Linked DNA regions of Schizosaccharomyces pombe. The protein of the gene in region 3 purifies or fractionates together with the protein of the main gene of each other region. This does not show direct contact. Each region holds a gene or a part of one and is shown on either strand. Other genes may lie near its edges.

Evidence for each region.
Region 1: the proteins of paa1 (region 3) and fba1 purify together in Schizosaccharomyces pombe (affinity purification with mass spectrometry, with the first as the bait; 3 studies listed by BioGRID). This does not show direct contact.
Region 2: the proteins of paa1 (region 3) and ppa2 purify together in Schizosaccharomyces pombe (affinity purification with mass spectrometry, with the first as the bait; 3 studies listed by BioGRID). This does not show direct contact.

Annotation. Positions count from the first base shown.
Region 1 is NC_003423.3:1,685,357-1,690,486, forward strand, and holds fba1 (fructose-bisphosphate aldolase Fba1), read left to right. Parts: upstream 1-2,964; 5' UTR 2,965-3,010; coding exon 3,011-4,087; 3' UTR 4,088-4,243; downstream 4,244-5,130. Other genes in the region: protein mug124, read right to left, coding at 1,412-1,849; U4/U5/U6 small nuclear ribonucleoprotein complex subunit PRP38, read left to right, coding at 4,792-4,933. UniProt on the Schizosaccharomyces pombe protein: Catalyzes the aldol condensation of dihydroxyacetone phosphate (DHAP or glycerone-phosphate) with glyceraldehyde 3-phosphate (G3P) to form fructose 1,6-bisphosphate (FBP) in gluconeogenesis and the reverse reaction in glycolysis.
Region 2 is NC_003423.3:2,283,986-2,291,332, reverse strand, and holds ppa2 (serine/threonine protein phosphatase PP2A catalytic subunit Ppa2), read right to left. Parts: upstream 4,382-7,347; 5' UTR 4,317-4,381; coding exon 4,176-4,316; exon of another isoform or gene 4,015-4,175; intron 3,884-4,014; coding exon 3,056-3,883; 3' UTR 1,962-3,055; coding exon of another isoform or gene 1,275-1,961; 3' UTR 888-1,274; downstream 1-887. Other genes in the region: protein gem8, read left to right, coding at 30-530; Rieske iron-sulfur protein, ubiquinol-cytochrome-c reductase complex subunit 5, Rip1, read left to right, coding at 1,275-1,961; SPOM_SPBC16H5.08C (ATP-binding cassette sub-family F protein), read right to left, coding at 4,988-6,808, 6,921-6,956. UniProt on the Schizosaccharomyces pombe protein: Essential role in cell cycle control. PP2A may be involved in controlling the entry into mitosis, possibly acting as an inhibitor.
Region 3 is NC_003424.3:5,329,020-5,335,443, forward strand, and holds paa1 (serine/threonine protein phosphatase PP2A scaffold subunit Paa1), read right to left. Parts: upstream 3,721-6,424; 5' UTR 3,647-3,720; coding exon 3,632-3,646; exon of another isoform or gene 3,581-3,631; coding exon 3,533-3,580; exon of another isoform or gene 3,479-3,532; coding exon 3,373-3,478; exon of another isoform or gene 3,361-3,372; intron 3,265-3,360; coding exon 2,361-3,264; exon of another isoform or gene 2,300-2,360; coding exon 2,199-2,299; intron 2,144-2,198; coding exon 1,806-2,143; exon of another isoform or gene 1,761-1,805; coding exon 1,500-1,760; 3' UTR 1,077-1,499; downstream 1-1,076. Other genes in the region: myosin II light chain cdc4, read left to right, coding at 199-229, 282-413, 487-627, 694-786, 859-887; phosphatidic acid transfer protein Ups1, read left to right, coding at 5,159-5,241, 5,309-5,741; GTPase Mtg2, read right to left, coding at 5,961-6,424. UniProt on the Schizosaccharomyces pombe protein: Phosphatase 2A affects a variety of biological processes in the cell such as transcription, cell cycle progression and cellular morphogenesis, and provides an initial identification of critical substrates for this phosphatase.

The sequences.
Region 1 (5,130 bases), on a different chromosome or scaffold from region 3:
TCTTGCAGTACACAAAAATGGCGTTTTTTTGATAGTATAAAATTTTTGGCAGTGTTTTTTACTCTAATAGGGCGTGAAGGTGCGAGTAAACAAAGAAGTGGAAAGGAAGGTCGGGACTGTAACTCACGCGAAAGAGTTGTTCTAGTAGATGGAATAGGAAGAGTTACGCTACTTTGCCACGCCAGGGGAGAAAAAGTAAATTTGGAAAGGAATAGGGAACCTTTTTCTCATAGCTTTTTGGGGTATTGTACGGAATGCATCATTACCATCATCCGTACACCACAGGAAGAGTAGCGATGGCAGGTGGCATGTTCCGGTAAGTTATGTTTGGGCGAAACCGAATGCGAGACCTTTTAGGCGAGATGAAGATGGTGAGATGGTGAAACAAAAAGGTTAATTTGCAGGGAGAAAAAAAGGTTAGACGGAGGGCTGGAAGAGGGATGTCAGCTTGAGTGAAGAGCTAACAAGAGCGGAAAAGAATAGAGAGGCAAAGGAAGAACACTATGGTTTTGTTTAGGGAATAAGAATATGAAGTTGTAGTGCATATATAGTAAAGGAATGGAAAGGAATGAGAAAGATAGAGTGGATAGATGAATGATGAATGGATGAATAGGTGAATGAAGTGGAATATGTATTTCTATAAAGAATGCTAGGAGTAAAGGAATGAAATAGAAAGGATTGGGTAAGAAAAAGTGTGTGTATGTATGAGTGTATTAGTGAATGAGATTCTGTGCAAACGAAAAAGTAGGATAATAAACTTAATGGATGGAAAATCAATTACACAAACTATGCTGTCTACTTAAAAAAATAAATAAATAAATAAAACCTACAACTCGACAAACCATGCTATCAAATATAAAAAGTCTACAGGCTGTACCACATAATGTGTTTATATATGTGTATATTGTGCTATGAGATGTACTTGTACATAGCTGTAGTTACAACTTGGATATACGTGCTATACCTATTATTTAGTAGAGCGTGCAAGTAAACATATTATACCCTAGTCTTTTAACTCTCTCTATATATTCGTTACGACGACGCTTTGTCTATATGTTATCCTCGATGTGTTACGATGTTACAAGTTACACTGCGTTATGCTACTTATCCAGCGTCTGCAGTCTTACTCTTTCTCTCTCTCTCTCCATTTCCCTCTGCTCTCCCTTTCATTTCACAAGCCCACGTTAACCTCACATAGCCCGCTTACAGTGCATTGCCCTACATCGTTATATCGATGCGTTGCGTTGCCAAAGAGGCGAGGAACAATATTCGTCAAGATTTTGCTTATCTCTAACAACAAGAGTTTATCCGTTCCAACCATTTCCCTGCGGTAATCCAATTGTTATCCGTAGCGAAGGGTTCAAGTGCCGCTGACATCAACCGAGCCCATCTAGGTAACGAGGTATATCGGTCATCGTGTCGGGGTTGCTAAATAGGAATGGTTGCCTTGCAAATCGTTACCTGACCAGAGCTGCAGCGAAAACGTAAACAAAGCGTATGTACGAAGGAAGAAATTGGATGGAAAAAATGAATCGACAAAACAAGGCAAAGCGCAACTCCAAGCAAAGTGACACATGACCGAGCATGAAAACGCAATCCAATGCAATGCCACACATACACTCAGAGATGCAATGCCACGACGATGGAATGGACAATGCAGACCAACGATTTTGAGCAGAGAAATATTAGCTTGACATGATGTGAGATGGGTGGAGATGTGGAATGGAATGGAATGAATGGATGGACATGAAATGAAATTTACCAAGTAAACAAGAGAGTTAATAATAGTAAGAATGATTTGTCTCCTAGTCTCAGCAATAGCAACACTTGACAGTGACTGCAGTCTCATACTCTTCTAGTCAAGTCTCATCCTCTTCCACTCTCTCAATTCCTTTTTATCAATGTTTCTTCCTCTTGTTATGTACACAAACGATGATCTCTTCTCTCACCTCATTGCTGGACTAATATTACTCGTGGCCAAGCGAAACACAAGTGGTACTAGATAACCAAAAAATGATAAAGCATTCAATCAATCAAACCACTTACGAAATTCATACTCCCGTAAACGAATGCCGGTCGGACGCATGGAAAATCATCAATACGTGAGAGAGCTACTTAGTTGTGCACTTTGTATATGTCCAAAAATACTTTTCATTTCACATACCTGCTTGTGTAAAGACAGTGATGAAATGCGGTGCAAAGTGTCTATTCTTACATTGATGGTAAAGCTAATTCAAGCATGCTTGGAAGAAGAATTGCCTTGCATTTCTTGATCATTTGACCCAGGCGACAACTATAAAATAAGAATACTACCGAAGATGCAGATGGGGTGTGTGGGCACAACACCATCGAACCGAACCGAGACGGCCAGACTGTGATAACAAAAGAAATGCATTAGTTTAGTTGGCTGGTTCAAGTTGGTTGAGTAGAAAAATCCATCACTCAAACTGGGAAGTAGGGATGGCTGGGAGAATGGAGAAGCGAGACGAGACGAGACAAGACAAGAGGAGATGAAATGAAATTAATGAAAAGAAATGAATAGAAATGAAATAGACATATGAATAGTATAGGGCAGGTTAGATGTTTGTATTTATAAATGTTTAATGCTTAGGTTTGTATTTATGTTTACGTTGGTAATGTTTCTTTTGTTTGTGTTTGTGCATCGGGTGAACGAGTTGGTTACCGCCGCCGCCGCTTCCTTTTGCCTTGACACACACCACGCAACGTGTTACGGTTCTTGAACGGAATTGCGTACTTCGATGCAGAGCGCTATCGGGGGGATTGGGGATGGTAAATGGAAGAAATCAAAAACTTCTTTTGACGTCAACCCCTAAAACAGGGGACGGTGATTGGTGGTAACCACGGACCGGATAGGTATCGATATGCACATCAGGTGAGAAGTTTTTCCGAGGCCAACTCCGGCTCCATGGTATATAATAGAGGGTTGCGCGCTACTGTTGCAGTATCATACTTCCAAAGGTCGTATAGAACACACACACAAATTAGCAAAATGGGAATTCTCGATATTGTACCTACTGGTGTTATTACAGGTGACAACGTTTTAAAGTTGTTCACCTACGCTCGTGAGCACGGATTCGCCATCCCTGCCATTAACGTCACCTCCTCCTCCACTGCTATTGCTGCTCTTGAGGCTGCTCGTGAGGCTCGTTCCCCCATCATCTTGCAAACCTCCAACGGTGGTGCTCACTTCTTTGCTGGTAAGGAATCCTCCAACGAGGGCCAAAAGGCCTCCATTGCCGGTTCCATCGCCGCTGCCCACTACATCCGTTCCATCGCTCCTTTCTTCGGTGTCCCCGTCGTCATGCACTCTGACCACTGCGCCAAGAAGCTTCTCCCCTGGATGGACGGTATGTTCGAAGCCGATGAGGCCTACTTCAAGATTCACGGTGAGCCTCTTTTCTCTTCTCACATGCTTGACTTGTCCGAGGAGCCCAAGAAGGAGAACATTGCTCAAGTTAAGGAGTACTGCAAGCGTGCCGTTCCCATGAAGATCTGGATCGAGATGGAGATCGGTATCACTGGTGGTGAGGAAGACGGTGTCGACAACTCTCACGTCTCCCACACCGAGCTCTACACTCAACCCGAGGACATCTGGGATGTCTACCGTGAGCTCTCCTCCGTTACCCCTTACTTCTCCATTGCCGCCGCTTTCGGTAACGTCCACGGTGTCTACAAGCCCGGTAACGTCAAGCTCCAACCCGCTCTTTTGGGTCAACACCAAGCCTATGTTAAGGAGCAACTCAAGACCACCAACGACAAGCCCGTTTTCTTCGTCTTCCACGGTGGTTCCGGTTCCTCTGTCAACGAGTTCCGTACTGGTATCAAGTGCGGTGTCGTCAAGGTCAACATTGACACTGATACCCAATTCGCCTACGTCGAGGGTGTCCGTGACTATGTCTTGAAGTACAAGGACTACCTTATGACCCCCGTCGGTAACCCCGAGGGAGCTGACAAGCCCAACAAGAAGAAGTTCGACCCTCGTGTCTGGATCCATGAGGGTGAGAAGACCATGACCAAGCGTGTTCTTACCGCTCTTGAGGACTTCTACACTGTCAACACTCTCTAAATTTGTGGTTTTTGAAAGATGGAAATGATTGAATAGACGGTGGGCTTCATTAAAATTATATTTTTTTGTCCCCTTAATGAGAGTTCATACTGTTTTGAAATTACGTGTTTGAATATAGAGACATTGTTTTTTAAAATTACCATTGTAAAAGCATAAGAGATATTTGAAGTAAAGTAGGGCAAAGTAAGTTAAGAAATTTTTTTGGATTGGATTTGTAAAGTGTTTTTCAAGCATACTGTATATTGTTAAGATTTTTCTTTTTATCCTTTTATTCATCTTCCTTAATTGGTTAATGTGTTCTTAGGTATATAAATTTACAAAAAAAAAATTTCCGATTCCACATGACAATGAATGAATAAATAATATGTCCGTGCGTTTATTTGAATTTAATATATATCGTTTGGCAAATCTCGATGAGTAGCTTAAAACAACATAATCGCTTGAATTTCATGTGCTTTGTGTACACAGTGTGCATTGTTTAGTAGATCAACTTTTTCTTCTTTCATTGCAATGAGTACGGGCATTTTCCCTTTTCCTCCATATTTCACGAATCCATGTTTTTTTTAGATAACCCTTTCTCAATCAAAACTCAGCATGCTTCTTCAGACTTGACCACTTATATTGTCAGTACACTACTGCTCCTTAAAAGCTTACTCCAAGTCAAGACATCAAGGTTGGAGCAATCATTCTCTTCATGAGGTACTATGGCTGATTTTCTTGCTAGAGATTATCGCTCTCAAGGTGAGGCGGCGCATGAAATGCTGCCGACTTTCCTTATAGGAAAAATCTTGAGAGAACGCATAGTAGATTCTATTTACTGGAAAGAACAATGTTTTGGATTGAATGGTATGTGTTCTTCATTGACAGAAAAGGAAAGTGTTTTTACATATTAGAGTTCAAGTACGATTACTTTCCAAATCGATATTTTGAGTGATATAGCCTAAATGAACTTGATTTGGCAAGCAAAGAAACCAAGTATAGGTACTTGCTGTTTTAATCAGTCCTCAAACTGTTATTCCAAATTCACTGACTAATACATCTTA
Region 2 (7,347 bases), on a different chromosome or scaffold from region 3:
CAATATTGTGTAAAACCACGGAACTTTTAATGAGTTCTGAAATTACAGAAGGAGACTTACAGAAATTCCATGATGAGCATTTTAATGCAAAAGCAGTAAACCTATGGAATGTTGCTTTCGCGCAAAACGATCGTGGGGGAAATTCAGAAAGTGCAAACGTTGAGTATACACAAAGTGTAGAGCGCTATCCTGATGGGACTATACGAACGTTAACAGATGAGCAAATTCTTTGGTTCCGTGAATCGGAAAAAAGGGAGTTAATGTGGAAAAAGGAGAAGGAGCAATTGTTAAAAGAAAAAGAATTAAGACAAAAAGCACTGGACAAGGAGAGAATGGTTTCTTCCAAACCAGAAACCAACCCAAAAACACCAATCTCATTAAAAGAATTGAAAGATATCGAAATATATCAAAACCAGTTCCATTACTCGGCTTATGAAATTTTAGAGGAAGAAAAAATACTTGATAATATTTTTCGCAAGTTTACTGCATTACCTATCAAATATTGGCCGGCAACACCAATACGAGGATAGAACGTTTTATGAATTGATGATGTTCAATAGAGTAGAAAAATTTCCTGCATATTAATGAAGGATACGCTTAATATTCAATAAATGTCACCAATCTTCATGAATACATTATACATAAGTATATTGCATTTCTTCTACATTGAACTATGATTAATGATATATACCAATTCCTTAAAATAATTAAGGCTAGTGAAAGAATACGATAATTTTCAATCTAATACTGTTGTATTGTTTTATGCAGGTGCTGTACCTTGTAAAGTGATGAATGATACTACTGTAAACATCTAAATATTGGATAATATTATAATCTCCAAATAGTTTATAGCTGGACGGAAGAACGTAAATCCAGCTATGTTCTTATACGGAACCTAGTAAAATAGACTGGAAAATTATATCTGATAAAACAAAATGATCTCTAGCGTACCATAATATTGGAATTTGAAAGATATAGGATTTTCGATTCGTGATGATATATGTACTGCACAGTCTAGCACTATACTGTACTGATCGTTAAAAGTAGCTGTAAAATTATGTTAATTTTTTATTGTGTACTTCGTTATTTTTCGGAGAACTTCGGATATGTAGTTTCATCAATCGGTGAATTCGGTAAATACAACTAACCTTCTTAGCAAATCACAGCACCCACAAACGCCGCCATTTTTAAACCAGAGGCAGCTTGACGTTTCTTCCCCAACCGCTACCCACCGAATATTTCAACAACCTGTTTCTCTTTAAAACGTTGTAAAAATGCTGGCCAAGCAATTTATTTCTAAGTCGTTAGCATCTTCGTTAAGACGGTTGCTTCCCGTTTCAAGCACTGCTTCGTCGTTGAAGGGCTCAATGATGACCATCCCAAAATTTACCTCTATTCGTACATATACTGACTCTCCGGAAATGCCAGACTTTTCGGAGTATCAAACAAAGAGCACTGGTGATCGTTCTCGTGTTATATCTTATGCCATGGTAGGCACAATGGGTGCTCTTACAGCCGCTGGAGCTCAAGCTACTGTTCATGATTTCTTGGCGAGTTGGTCTGCATCTGCTGATGTGTTGGCTATGTCGAAGGCCGAGGTTGATTTGTCGAAAATTCCAGAGGGAAAGAACCTTGTCGTCAAATGGCAGGGTAAGCCTGTTTTTATCCGTCATCGTACTCCTGAAGAAATCCAAGAAGCCAATTCTGTAGATATTAGCACTCTTAGGGATCCTCAAGCGGACTCTGACCGTGTTCAAAAACCCGAGTGGCTTGTTATGATTGGTGTCTGTACTCATCTTGGTTGTGTACCCATTGGCGAAGCTGGTGACTATGGCGGATGGTTCTGCCCTTGTCACGGTTCTCATTATGATATCTCTGGTCGTATTCGCCGTGGTCCTGCACCTCTTAACTTGGCGATTCCTGCTTATACGTTTGAAGGAAGCAAAATTATCATCGGATAAAATTTATTTCGCTCAAAAACTTTTGTCCTAGCTGATTTCCTCCCTCCTTTTTCTCCCCTCTCTTTTACTTCTTCTTTAGCCTGTTGGGGATCAAGTCATATGCTGTCTTACTTGCTTCTTATTTTTATTTGTCCAATGCACTTTCTCATAGCCTTTGTTGGTCCATTTGGCTTATACAGCAGTCAAGATGGCAATTGCAGACTTCCTTTTTCTTGTTATAGTCATTTACTGATACAAACCCCCTTCTCATTCTCAATTAATGCAACCTTGAATCTCTTATTCCAAGACGTAAATCAATAATTTTGTATGTGACGCCTGATTCATGCAAGTCAGATGGTTCTTATTTTATCGTAGTCTAATGTAACTTTACTTTCCCTTTGGTGGTAGTTTCTTAAACCGCTAAAAATATATATAATCCTTGAGTACTCTTCTTGCCTTCAAGGTTTGTGAAATGCAAAAGTATCCCCTTATACTTGAATAAAAAAGTTGTACAATTCAAATATGTAGTTATTGTAGGTTTATCTGACAAGTATCAATAATAAATAAATATCTAGACAAATAAACCATTTTTTTTCTTTAAAAGTTCTTTATAGACAAACTTCTACAAATATGGAATCATGAAGCTGGCTTAAAAAGTTTGGTCATAAAGCTTTAGGATGTTTAATTCATTACAGCACATGACTGCTTAAGCATGCCTAATTCTAACTCATAATATTGTCTCAAAACAATACCATCCAACTATGCAGCAGTCGTTAATCGCTATCACGACATATTAAATAGCAGATATTTCTCGAAGAAATAAGTCCACAACCAAAAATCCTAGTGTGCTTATCAAAATTAACAAGAATATTTCACGTACGTATAAGACACGGTTGCAATGGCTTGAAGTGGAATACATATAAGGATTTTAAGATTTCCTTGCAAAAAAGGTACTTGACAAGTCCTGGAAATGAAAAGACAGTCTGAAGATTCGTATGCGGAGGATGTACAAAGTAGTCTTTTTAATCTTGAGTATTAACTCAAAAATCAGAAAGGTGGATAAATTTTTTGAAACAATCACAATCGATTGATCACTCATTAGAGAATTGAAACTTTTAAAGGAAGTAGTCTGGTGTCCTTCGAGCTATTACCGGTTCGCCTTCTCGTGGGGCAGGATCGAATTGTAAAAAGACTTGATTCATCGTATCATCAACTTCCAAAATAGCTGCTTGATTACCACAGCGATAACAATAATTTGGGGCAGAAAAAATTGTAACTACGTCTCCATCATGTGCCCAATTAAATCCTTCCATAACTAGCTGATGGGCTCGTGCCGTTAAACTTAATCCATTTGCGTGATTAAATGTCTCAGAAATGTCTTGTCCGAAGGTGTATCCGGCACCACGAGGAGAAATTCCCCAACCACATCTATCATCAGGGTCTGACCAAAGCAAATCACACATCGGACCTTCATGGGGAACTTCTTGTACACGATCCAAAGTCCGTACATGGTCTAATGAATCAATGCTCGGGGAAAGACCTCCATGTAGGCAGAAAATACGGTCTTCAATTAAAGCAGTTAAAGGGAAATAGTCAAATAAATTTGTGAAATGTTTCCAAACATTAGCGGATCCATATTTACGCAAACATTCATCATAAAATCCGTAAACTTGAGTGATTTGTCTAGATTCATGATTTCCTCGAAGAATCGTAATTCGGTTAGGGTAGCGTAACTTCATTGCAACAAGCAAACTTACAGTTTCGACGCTGTGATAACCTCTGTCAACATAGTCACCCATAAAAAGATAGTTCATATCAGGCACATCACCTCCAATTTTAAATAATTCCATCAGATCATGAAACTGTCCATGAATATCACCGCAAACAGTAACTGGATTTCGGACAGGTTGGACATTATTTTCCTGACATAAAACCTCACGAGCCTAGAAAAAATGGTTAGCAAAAACTGCGAAAACACGAAAAATGCTGGTATAGATGAGAGTCTCCGACGTAATTTTTAACCACCATATATTTATAGGATGAGATTTCTAGAAACCCGACATTAATGTAATATTAATCTTTTTAGAAATCAAACCGAAATAAGCTGGATAGTTCAAACTCAAACATATCAAACTGAACAATCTCAAGAAATCAAGAGAAAATGAGAACTTGCAAAGTTGGGATATATCCAACCAAGCCTGATACACATATATACTCTCCTTAGTGTTCACTTACCTTATCGCATAACATTTCAACGTCAGCTTCGCTCAGAGGCTCGCATTTTTTCAACTGTTCGATCCATCTGTCAACGTCTCCTAGAGTAGCGTCATTCGCCTCCGGAGCAAGCTTACTATCATTTGCTGGATCTATAGACATTAATTATGGAATTTTGTATATAGTAAAAAGCAAGTTATAAGTCTTTCTAACCGTGTGTTGCTTTTGGTAAGTTGAGACCGTTACAGAGGTGACAGGCTACTCTTGCGTATCATCAGCTTGCTAACAAGCTATGGCAAATCGACTTTATGTGTAAACAGCATAGCGATCTGGTATACAATTAATAATATAGAATATTTGCATTTCTTATTTATTGATTACTAACCTGGATTTTTCTCAACAGTTTGCGCTTACTATGTGAATTCACGAGATTGCTGTGTAGCGTTTTCTAAGGTACTAGAGAAATTACGAGCTCACTGGCATTTTTTAATAGAATGGGTTATTATTAGTCTTTTCGAGAAGAAGCGTACATAGTTTTCAAAACCGATGCTGTATAAAGTTTCACGCATAAATGCTGAGAAGTACAGTTTACCTATAGTCGGTGGAAAAAGATAATTCCACTCTAAATCGGACTTAACGACAATTCTTGAACAGTACACAGAGATGAAATTTTGGCTTAATAGCTTCACTCAATGATAGAGCTTGACAATTACAACGATGAGACCAAAAGCAATACGCTTCTTAAACACTTTCAAATAAGTAATAAACATTTTATATTAATCCCACTACTCAAAATGTATCACATATTCCCTAACCAAAAATCTATAAATTAACTAAATCAAATGCTTAACTTTGGCAGTAGTATCACGAGATTGAACTTCTTTGGCCATCGACTTCTTATATTCCTCAATGGAGCAGTCCAATTTCACAACCTTCTTGTCTTTAACTTCCCACAACTCTTTAGAAACTTGACCAATTAGACGGAAATCGTGAGAAACCAAAACAACACCACCAGTCCATACGTTAATGGCTTTGGCTAGGGCATCAATAGAGGTAATATCCAAGTGATTCGTAGGTTCATCAAGTAAAAGAATGTGGGGTTGTTCCAAAGCGAGTGCTGCAAACACAACACGGCTTTTCAAGCCATCAGATAAAGTACGGATTTCACTGGTTTGGTGAAGACCAGACAAACCGAATTTGCCCAAAACGCTGCGCCATTGCTGAAGTTCTCTCTCGGGAAATTTAGGCTTGTAAGTATCCATGATGTATTCAAGTGGAGACTTGTCATAGGGAAGCTGATCGGCACTGTGCTGAGAGTATTTAGCCATCTTCAATCCACTGTAACGAGAGACATTGCCTTCAATGGGAATCAAAAGCCCAGTGATTAAGTTCAACAATGTAGACTTTCCGGTACCATTTTTACCCACAATGGCGACACGGGAGTCCATATCGATACCAAAGGACAAGTCACGGTACAAAGCGTGATCAAGATTACCATCATAAGAGAAAGCAACGTCGTTAAAAGCAATGATAGGTGGTGGTAATTTGCGAACTTCATCAAATTCAAAGCTGAATTGACGAGGAGGTTCGGGCTTCTCAACTAAACCGGCAGCCTCCATTTTATCGATAATCTTTTGTTTCGACTTGGCTTGGCGTACCAAGTTTGCATAGGTACCAGCACTAGCAATAAACTTTTTAATATGAGCAATTTCCTCTTGCTGTTTTAAGTAAGCCTTCATCTGATTGGTTTCATTTTCTTCCTTAGTACGCATATAAATGTCGAAATTACCACCATAGTAGACAAGCTGCTTTTTAGAAGTTAAATCAATAATATTGGTACAGACGTTGTTGAGGAAATCTTGAGAGTGGGAAGTGACAACAAGAATTTTGTCGTATTTCGCTAAGTAATTCTCCAACCAAACAACGGCTTCTAAGTCCAAATGGTTGGTAGGTTCGTCCAAAAGAAGCAAAGAGGGTTTGATGAAAAGAGCACGAGAAAGTGCAACACGCATACGCCAACCACCAGACATGTCCTTTGTGGGTTTGGCCATCATTTCCTGGGTAAATCCCAAACCATGCAAAATCATAGCTGCTTTTGCCTCAAAGGTGCTAGGATCCATATCATCCAACTCTTCATACTTGGATTCTAATAGAACATCATCAACATCATCGGCAGTTGATAACTCTTCAATTTCGGCTTCCAATTTTTGAACCTTGTCTTTTGCTGACTGAATAATATAGTCGACAGCATTAACATCAGAGGGTTCAGCCTCTGCGTTCAACAAGTAGCTATCAATGTGTTCTGGATATTCCACATCACGAGCAGCCACGGATTCCAAGAATGTACTTTTACCGGAACCGTTATCACCCAAAAGACCATAGCGTTGACCATGGTTGAGTTCGATAGTGGCATTCTCTATCAACAGACGTCCGTGAAAAGAAAGGGTGTAACTGTCAATTTTAATATCGCGACTCATTGGTTGACTAGTTAAGACACCAGAAGCACTTCTTTCAAAAATAGGGTCGCTAGTAGAAAGTTCCGACAAATCTTTTGTGACTCCATCGACTTCTTTATCTTTTCCATTTTTAGTTCCATTCTTTTTAGAGGGCTTAACGCTCTCGCCTTTAGCAGCTAAGCGCTCAGCTTTTTTAGCCTAAACATTTGTTAGCGATTGAGCTTAAAAATTTTAAAAGCAATCGAAAAAAATTAGAAATAAGCTATTTATTTGACTTTTTTCTCTACAGCATTCATTAATAGGAACTTACCTCTCTTTTCAGTTTGGACGCTGATTTGGACGACATGTTGGCTAAGTACAGAATAATTTTGTCGAAAAAAAATTGACATTAGGAACTCCTGTGACGTTTTCAGATAAATTTACAGCAAATACAATAAATAAATATAGCGTAAAAAATTTTAATTGCTTAAAAAAAATACGGACCTTTTAATGGGCATGTTAAACCATTTTATGAGACTTATAACAATATAGTTGTTACACTATTTTGACAAAGAAAGTGTGTGCATTAATAAATAATTATAGAATAGTAGTGCTGGTAAGGGATTTAAATAAATTGTTAAATAAGAGAAAATTTTGTTTAACTAATTATTGTTCAGAGTTATGAATCCAAAACAAAAACAAATATTCTGTTGATTTACGCATGTCGACTTGCTTACGATAACAGTGCAATGAAGTAA
Region 3 (6,424 bases):
GCAAAGTAAATGACAATTCTGTTCATATAAGCTGGTTTACATAGCTCTACGTTCTTTAGTAAATTACTAAACAGATCGCTATACAGTAAACATTATCATGGCAACGGTTGCTATGGGGCTTATAGGTGCGTGTACACAGATTACAGTCGACTTAGTACACTTACCTTCATCCTAACAATCCATTTAGAATAGTCAAACATGTCGACAGACGATTCACCTTATAAACAAGGTAATAACTACTTTTTGAAATCATTTCAAAATGTTTATTAACGAAAAGATAGCTTTTTCTTTATTTGACCGCCATGGAACTGGTCGCATCCCCAAAACGTCCATTGGTGATCTTTTAAGAGCGTGTGGACAAAATCCTACGCTGGCTGAGATTACTGAAATTGAATCTACTTTGCCCGCAGAAGGTATGATTTCTTGTTATGGGTTTGGAGAGTTATACTCCTTAGCCGTGCATTAAGTGACAATACTAATTGGTAGTCGATATGGAACAATTCCTTCAAGTGTTAAATCGTCCCAATGGGTTTGATATGCCTGGTGACCCAGAGGAATTCGTGAAGGGCTTCCAGGTGTTTGATAAAGATGCCACTGGCATGATTGGAGTGGGTGAATTGCGCTATGGTATGTATTTATAGAGATCTATCCTTTTTTCAGATTGATAAAAAAATGCGAAACTAATTGTATCAGTTTTAACTTCTTTGGGTGAAAAACTCAGCAACGAAGAAATGGACGAGTTATTAAAGGGTGTTCCCGTAAAAGATGGCATGGTTAATTATCACGGTATGCTCTATTACTACTCTGGGCTTCGGCAATCAACTACCTATACTTAATTATACTAACTGCTTCCTTTAGATTTCGTTCAAATGATTCTTGCCAATTAATTAAATCTACATAGTTTGCATAATTTACCCGGCATATGTTTCTCCTTTATTATTTACACCTTTATTTCAATTTTATGTCTTCAATAGTTTACTTTCGTTCAGCTTTTCCATCTGATACACTTGGGACTATGAAGCAATATGTTCCTGAATACAGATAACTGGACTTTTCGATACTCGCAGGAATTTCTACACATATCGTTTAGCATACGGAAATAGAGATATCCTTCTATATTCGTATATTTATGAATATGATTAACAACCATTTGTTATCTCATGCAAATGACCTTATATCTCAGCTGCTTAAATTGTTTGAATCTCTCCAGATGTAAATATAAGTTTTCATTCAAAATTACACTTTTCGTAAGTAATTACGGTTGATGCCAGCTTTCTTGATGCATTCGGCTCCAATTTTGCCATATCGTGTATATCTTGTATATCTAATTTACTGTGTGTCAATACGATGCTTTGAATTAGATGTAGGGCTTGACACTTGATGTCGAACGAATGGCCAGAGTCAAGACAGTCCATTCTTTTGCATTTTTACATAGTGAACACAAATCATAAAGGTAAAACTTTTGGCTCATTTAGACATGCAATCATATAACCCAACAATTAGTCATTTGTTTGCTCTAAGGCCTGAGTAGCAAAATATTGAACATCAGGGTCATTATCTTTTGTAAGTTGTTCGAGCAATGGGATGATTTGCTGTTCATATACGGTCGAGTCACCACCAGCTGCCAAAACAGGCTTAAGAACTTCAAACGCCTTGGCAACGTTAAAGCGAATATTAGGAATAGGGTCATTAACCAACTGTTCCAAAGTTGGAAGAATTTGTTTTTCAATTACTTCAGCATTCAATGCAGGTGCGATTTCCTAAAATACGTTAGAACTGGAAAAAAGCAAAAAAGAAAAACTTACACTGATCGCAAAAATAGTTGTCATTCGGTATAAATAATTTGGATGGCTTCGCATAGCCAAAAACTTTGGAATAATTGTCTCAGTTGCCCATTCCAACCCAAAAATTTCCGTAAGTTTTCGCAAATTCTTTATCGCAGCTTCACGAATAGAATATACATGGTCCTCTAACCATGACATACATAAATTGCCCATTTTCTCATTAAAAAATTCGACCCCAAGCTGCTGAGCAAGTAGTGGAATGTAGTCAATGATAGCAAGACGAACACGCCATTGTTTATCTTCAGCAAGTGTAACAATTGCAGGCAATAAAGATTGTGAAAGTAATTCGATACCAACGACTAAAGTGAGTTAGTATAACTGTAGCAATAGCTATATTTTGAATTTGCAATTTACCTTTGTTTACAACTTCCAATTTCGAAATAATGTTAAGACGAACTTCAGGGTTTTCATCTTTAAGTAATTCCAAAAACATTGGTAAAAGATACTCTGTAGTCCTAAATATAACGATTAGTAAAATGAGGTTTTTAAAAGAAAAGTTATTTTTAGCAGACATACTTTTCCTTTCCTAATTGTGGGGCGAGAGCACCTATGTTCATCCCTAAAGCAGCACGGACATGTTGAGCGGGATCATTAATTAACTCTTGAATAACTGGAATAATCTCTTCAAGAACAATTCGCTTATCCAACAATTCGCAAAATCCTGGTATTTGAGTAGCAATAGCACGGCGGACTTCCTGCTCGGTATCCTTCATGAGCAGTACGAATGGTTTAATAAGTTCATCTTTAATAAGAGATGGTCCAACTACTTTAGCAAGTTTTACAAAATTAGCAGCAACCATATAACGTGTTCTCCAGCTGCTATCCGAAACAAAAGACCTTAATGGTTGAAGCAAATAGTGACGAATTTCCGAGTCAGATTTTAATACCTCCGCCAAAGAAACCATAATGTCGAAAGAAAGGAGCCGAACTGAGTCTTGGTCATCATTAGAAAGGGAGTTGAACAATGGAATGAATTCGTCAATAGCCTCCTGTTTAGTTACCAAAAAAACAAACTTGGCACAGTTCGTTGCTGCAGGACGACGGACCATGGGAGCTTCGTCGTGACATAGATGACTAAAACTTTGACGAAGAGAGACTTTGACAGCAGGATTTTCTGACTGAGAATATGCCGCGCAGTAAAGCCCAGCAGAGGACGCACGAGAGGTAAACCACTCAGCGGTTGAAAGACGTTGAACCAATGGAACAAAATATTGCTCTAATTGTTCTTGGGATAGGCAAATACATACTTTATTGAGAGAGTCAACGGCTTTATCGCGGACTACCGTTTCTTCAGTTGCAGCAAGATTTTCAAGGGGAGACAAAAGGACATGCGCATACTCAGGGCCTCCAACATAATCTACAAAATTTCCTAACTGGTCGGCGAGAGCTGATAGGACTTCGTCCTCATCGTCAATCGATTCTGTATTCAAGGAATGTTAGCCGACAAACATACATCGTTTATTAAAAAATATAAAGAATTTTAAAAATTTAAACCTATAGTTCCATAATTTTATTATTGAATGCATACCATCTAAAAAGGGAATCAACTCATCCCTTGTACGTTCAGGACCTAAAGCGAGAGCAATTGTCGATAACCGTTCCAAAGCATTGAGCCTATAAGTAATTTCATCATGCTTTAACAATAGTCAGAGTTGAACATATCAGACGTAAAACAATTTGTTACCAACCTTTAACTCATCAATCAAAACAGCAATCGGATACAAATCGTTCACTTGCTATAAATAGTCGTGGTTAATAAATTGTAAAAGAGACATTTTGTAACACACATTCTCTGTTTGCATTTTATATAATAGAACAACTCGTTCTTAGCAAACAAGCAAATAAAGTGGGTAGGAAGTTTTAAACTTTTCGAGGTGAAGAAGGAGTGTGTGTTACAGCGGACGCTACCAAATTGAAACAGTTTTCCAAGCAAGTATCTCAAAGGTTTTCCTTAACATGAATCATTTTGAATAATTCTAAAAAACTATTTTGTGTTTATAATATACTCTGCTTTTCAGAGTTTTGACTGAACATAAATTCCACTTAAATGTTTACATACTGAATTGTCTAGCATCACGAATTCTTTTTATGTCTTCTCTCTTTATTCCTGACCTAATTTAATCTTTGTTTTTGAGAAGTATTGTTTAAGGGATATGGTTTGGAATCACATTTCTACCAATGCTAAAGCTTTTATATGACATCAAACGATTTTGCATGAGTATGTTAATTGATTATTTTTTTGGAAATTTGTATGATAATAAAGGATTCAATTGCCATATTGATGTATCGCAACTGGCTGAATGGTATATTACACAGTCATATTTATTTCAAACTATGAAATTACCCAAAAAACAAAACATAATTAAGTGATTATAGCCATTAAAAAGCTTTTTCCAAACTTCGCATGTTTCAAACCGAAAACTTTCGCTATATTTAATGCAAGAAGATAATTCGGATTTATTAATATTGGAGCTATTGTCGAAATGTTAAGCAAAACTGCTATACACACTTAGTGAGAAAAATTTGATCATTTTTCATTTGTTTACGATACCTTACATAACTGGGGTTTCATTATATTGCAAGTTTATTTCGTCTACCTCAGGATGAATGTGTTGGATTCTCAAATTGAGGTCCTTCAGTTTGGTTCAACAGTTTTTTTTCATTAATACTTCGTTTTTAAGATGGTCGTATAATTAATTATTGACTGCCGCAATCGATTCGTTTGTTTTAATGTTTAACAAAATATTGTTACTTCAAATTTTCTAACAAGTACCTCGATTGTGTAATATAACTACCAAACTAAAATATTTAATACAATGTGCTAGTTATGTTTGGTGACTATAGCAATATCACTTAAAATGGGTGATATATCTTCATAACGAAGTTTGGTGTTTTCAGAGATGACCGATCAGTTTAGGTAGTGTTTACAATAAATTACAGGTATTTTTTTTTTCTTCAACGCACTTTAATTTGAGTGAACAATCCTCTACTCGCACCATAATACTTCGCTTATCATAGAGCATATAGTTTATAGAATGAATATCAAAAATTTATCATTGAATATAATGCAAAAAATTCTTTGAGCATCGCCACTGATTATCTGTTTTACAATACTAACATGTGATGTTTTCACAAGTGAAAATAACGAGCACCTTATATCACGTTATTTATTAAGTCAATAAATTGTCCATTATACCAATCTTTCGTCAGTAAATCTTTTTGGGTGAAATATTTTGAGGGAAGACTGGCTAAAAGGCTTTTTAGCATATTTATTTTTCAAAAAAAAATTAAAAGCAAATGATTGATTTTCTGATATGACTGCAATATGTACTGACAAAACCGAGTTAAATGCTTCCTGGAATACAGTCTCTTCAGCTTGGCTCACTAGATATCCAAAGTACGTCGATCATAAACTATGAGGTTCATTTTTATTGTGTTAATGTTCTTTTATTAACAATAGTTAGTCCGTATAGTCTTCACGTAGTCTCAGCTGATGTACTCGAGCGATATGTGGATGATGAAGGTCGACTATATACCGAAAGATTACTTGTTAAACAGGGAAGACTGCCCAGATGGGCATCGGATCTTTTGAATGTTAACAAGTCTTACATACTCGAAAGATCTGTCATTGATCCCTCAAAGCAGGAATTAAAATCCGAAACGTTCAATTTGGATCATGTGAAAATTCTCCGCGTAATAGAGTACAGTCGATTTATCCAAAGCTCAGAAAACTGCTCAAAAACTATAGTAGACACGATTGCCAAGTTTGTCTCACCCTTAAGATTTGGTCTTGGTCGTAGGGTTCAAAAGTACAGTCTAAAACGATTTCAAGAACAGCTATCGAGCTCTCGTCGCGGGCTTTTATATGTAATCCAACAAAAGTTTCAACCTTCTTAAATTGTTACTTATATAATAAAACTCAAAGGGTTCGCAAAAGAAAAAAAAGGAAACGTTAATCATTTACAAATTTCTCATACAACGATAACGTGTTGTACAAATTAAAAAGCACCATTTTATTACATATTGATTAAATGCGTTAATAATTTTTTGGAATAAATTCTTTTTTCCTCTAAAAACAATGAAGCAAATTTTGTTGGTAATTCTATGTATCACAGCTCATACGAGTAATCGTTGTTGGAGAAGTTGAGTCATTCCACGTACTAATCCTTCCAACCCTTCTTGCTTCTTTGCACTGACCGGCAAAACAGCTACCCCTTTCGTAGTTCTTTCAACAATAGCCTTAAGCAAAAGTAGGTCTTGCTCAGCTGCTGTATCGGCTTTATTAGCGATTACGAGAGCTACCTTATTAATTAAATTTTTTTCGTACTTATTCAGCTCATCCCAAAGCAATTGAAAAGCCTGATCTGCTGGAATTTTAGCCTTTGGGTTTATATCAATTACCAGGCAAAGCATCTTTGCACGTTCTACATGCCTTAAAAAATCGTAACCCAATCCTTTTCCATCACTTGCCCCTTTAATAATTCCGGGTATATCTGCTAATCGGTACTGGAAAGATGAGTGGTCGTCGGGCATCGTAGTTTTAATAGTCCCAATTTTAGGATATATAGTTGTAAACTCAT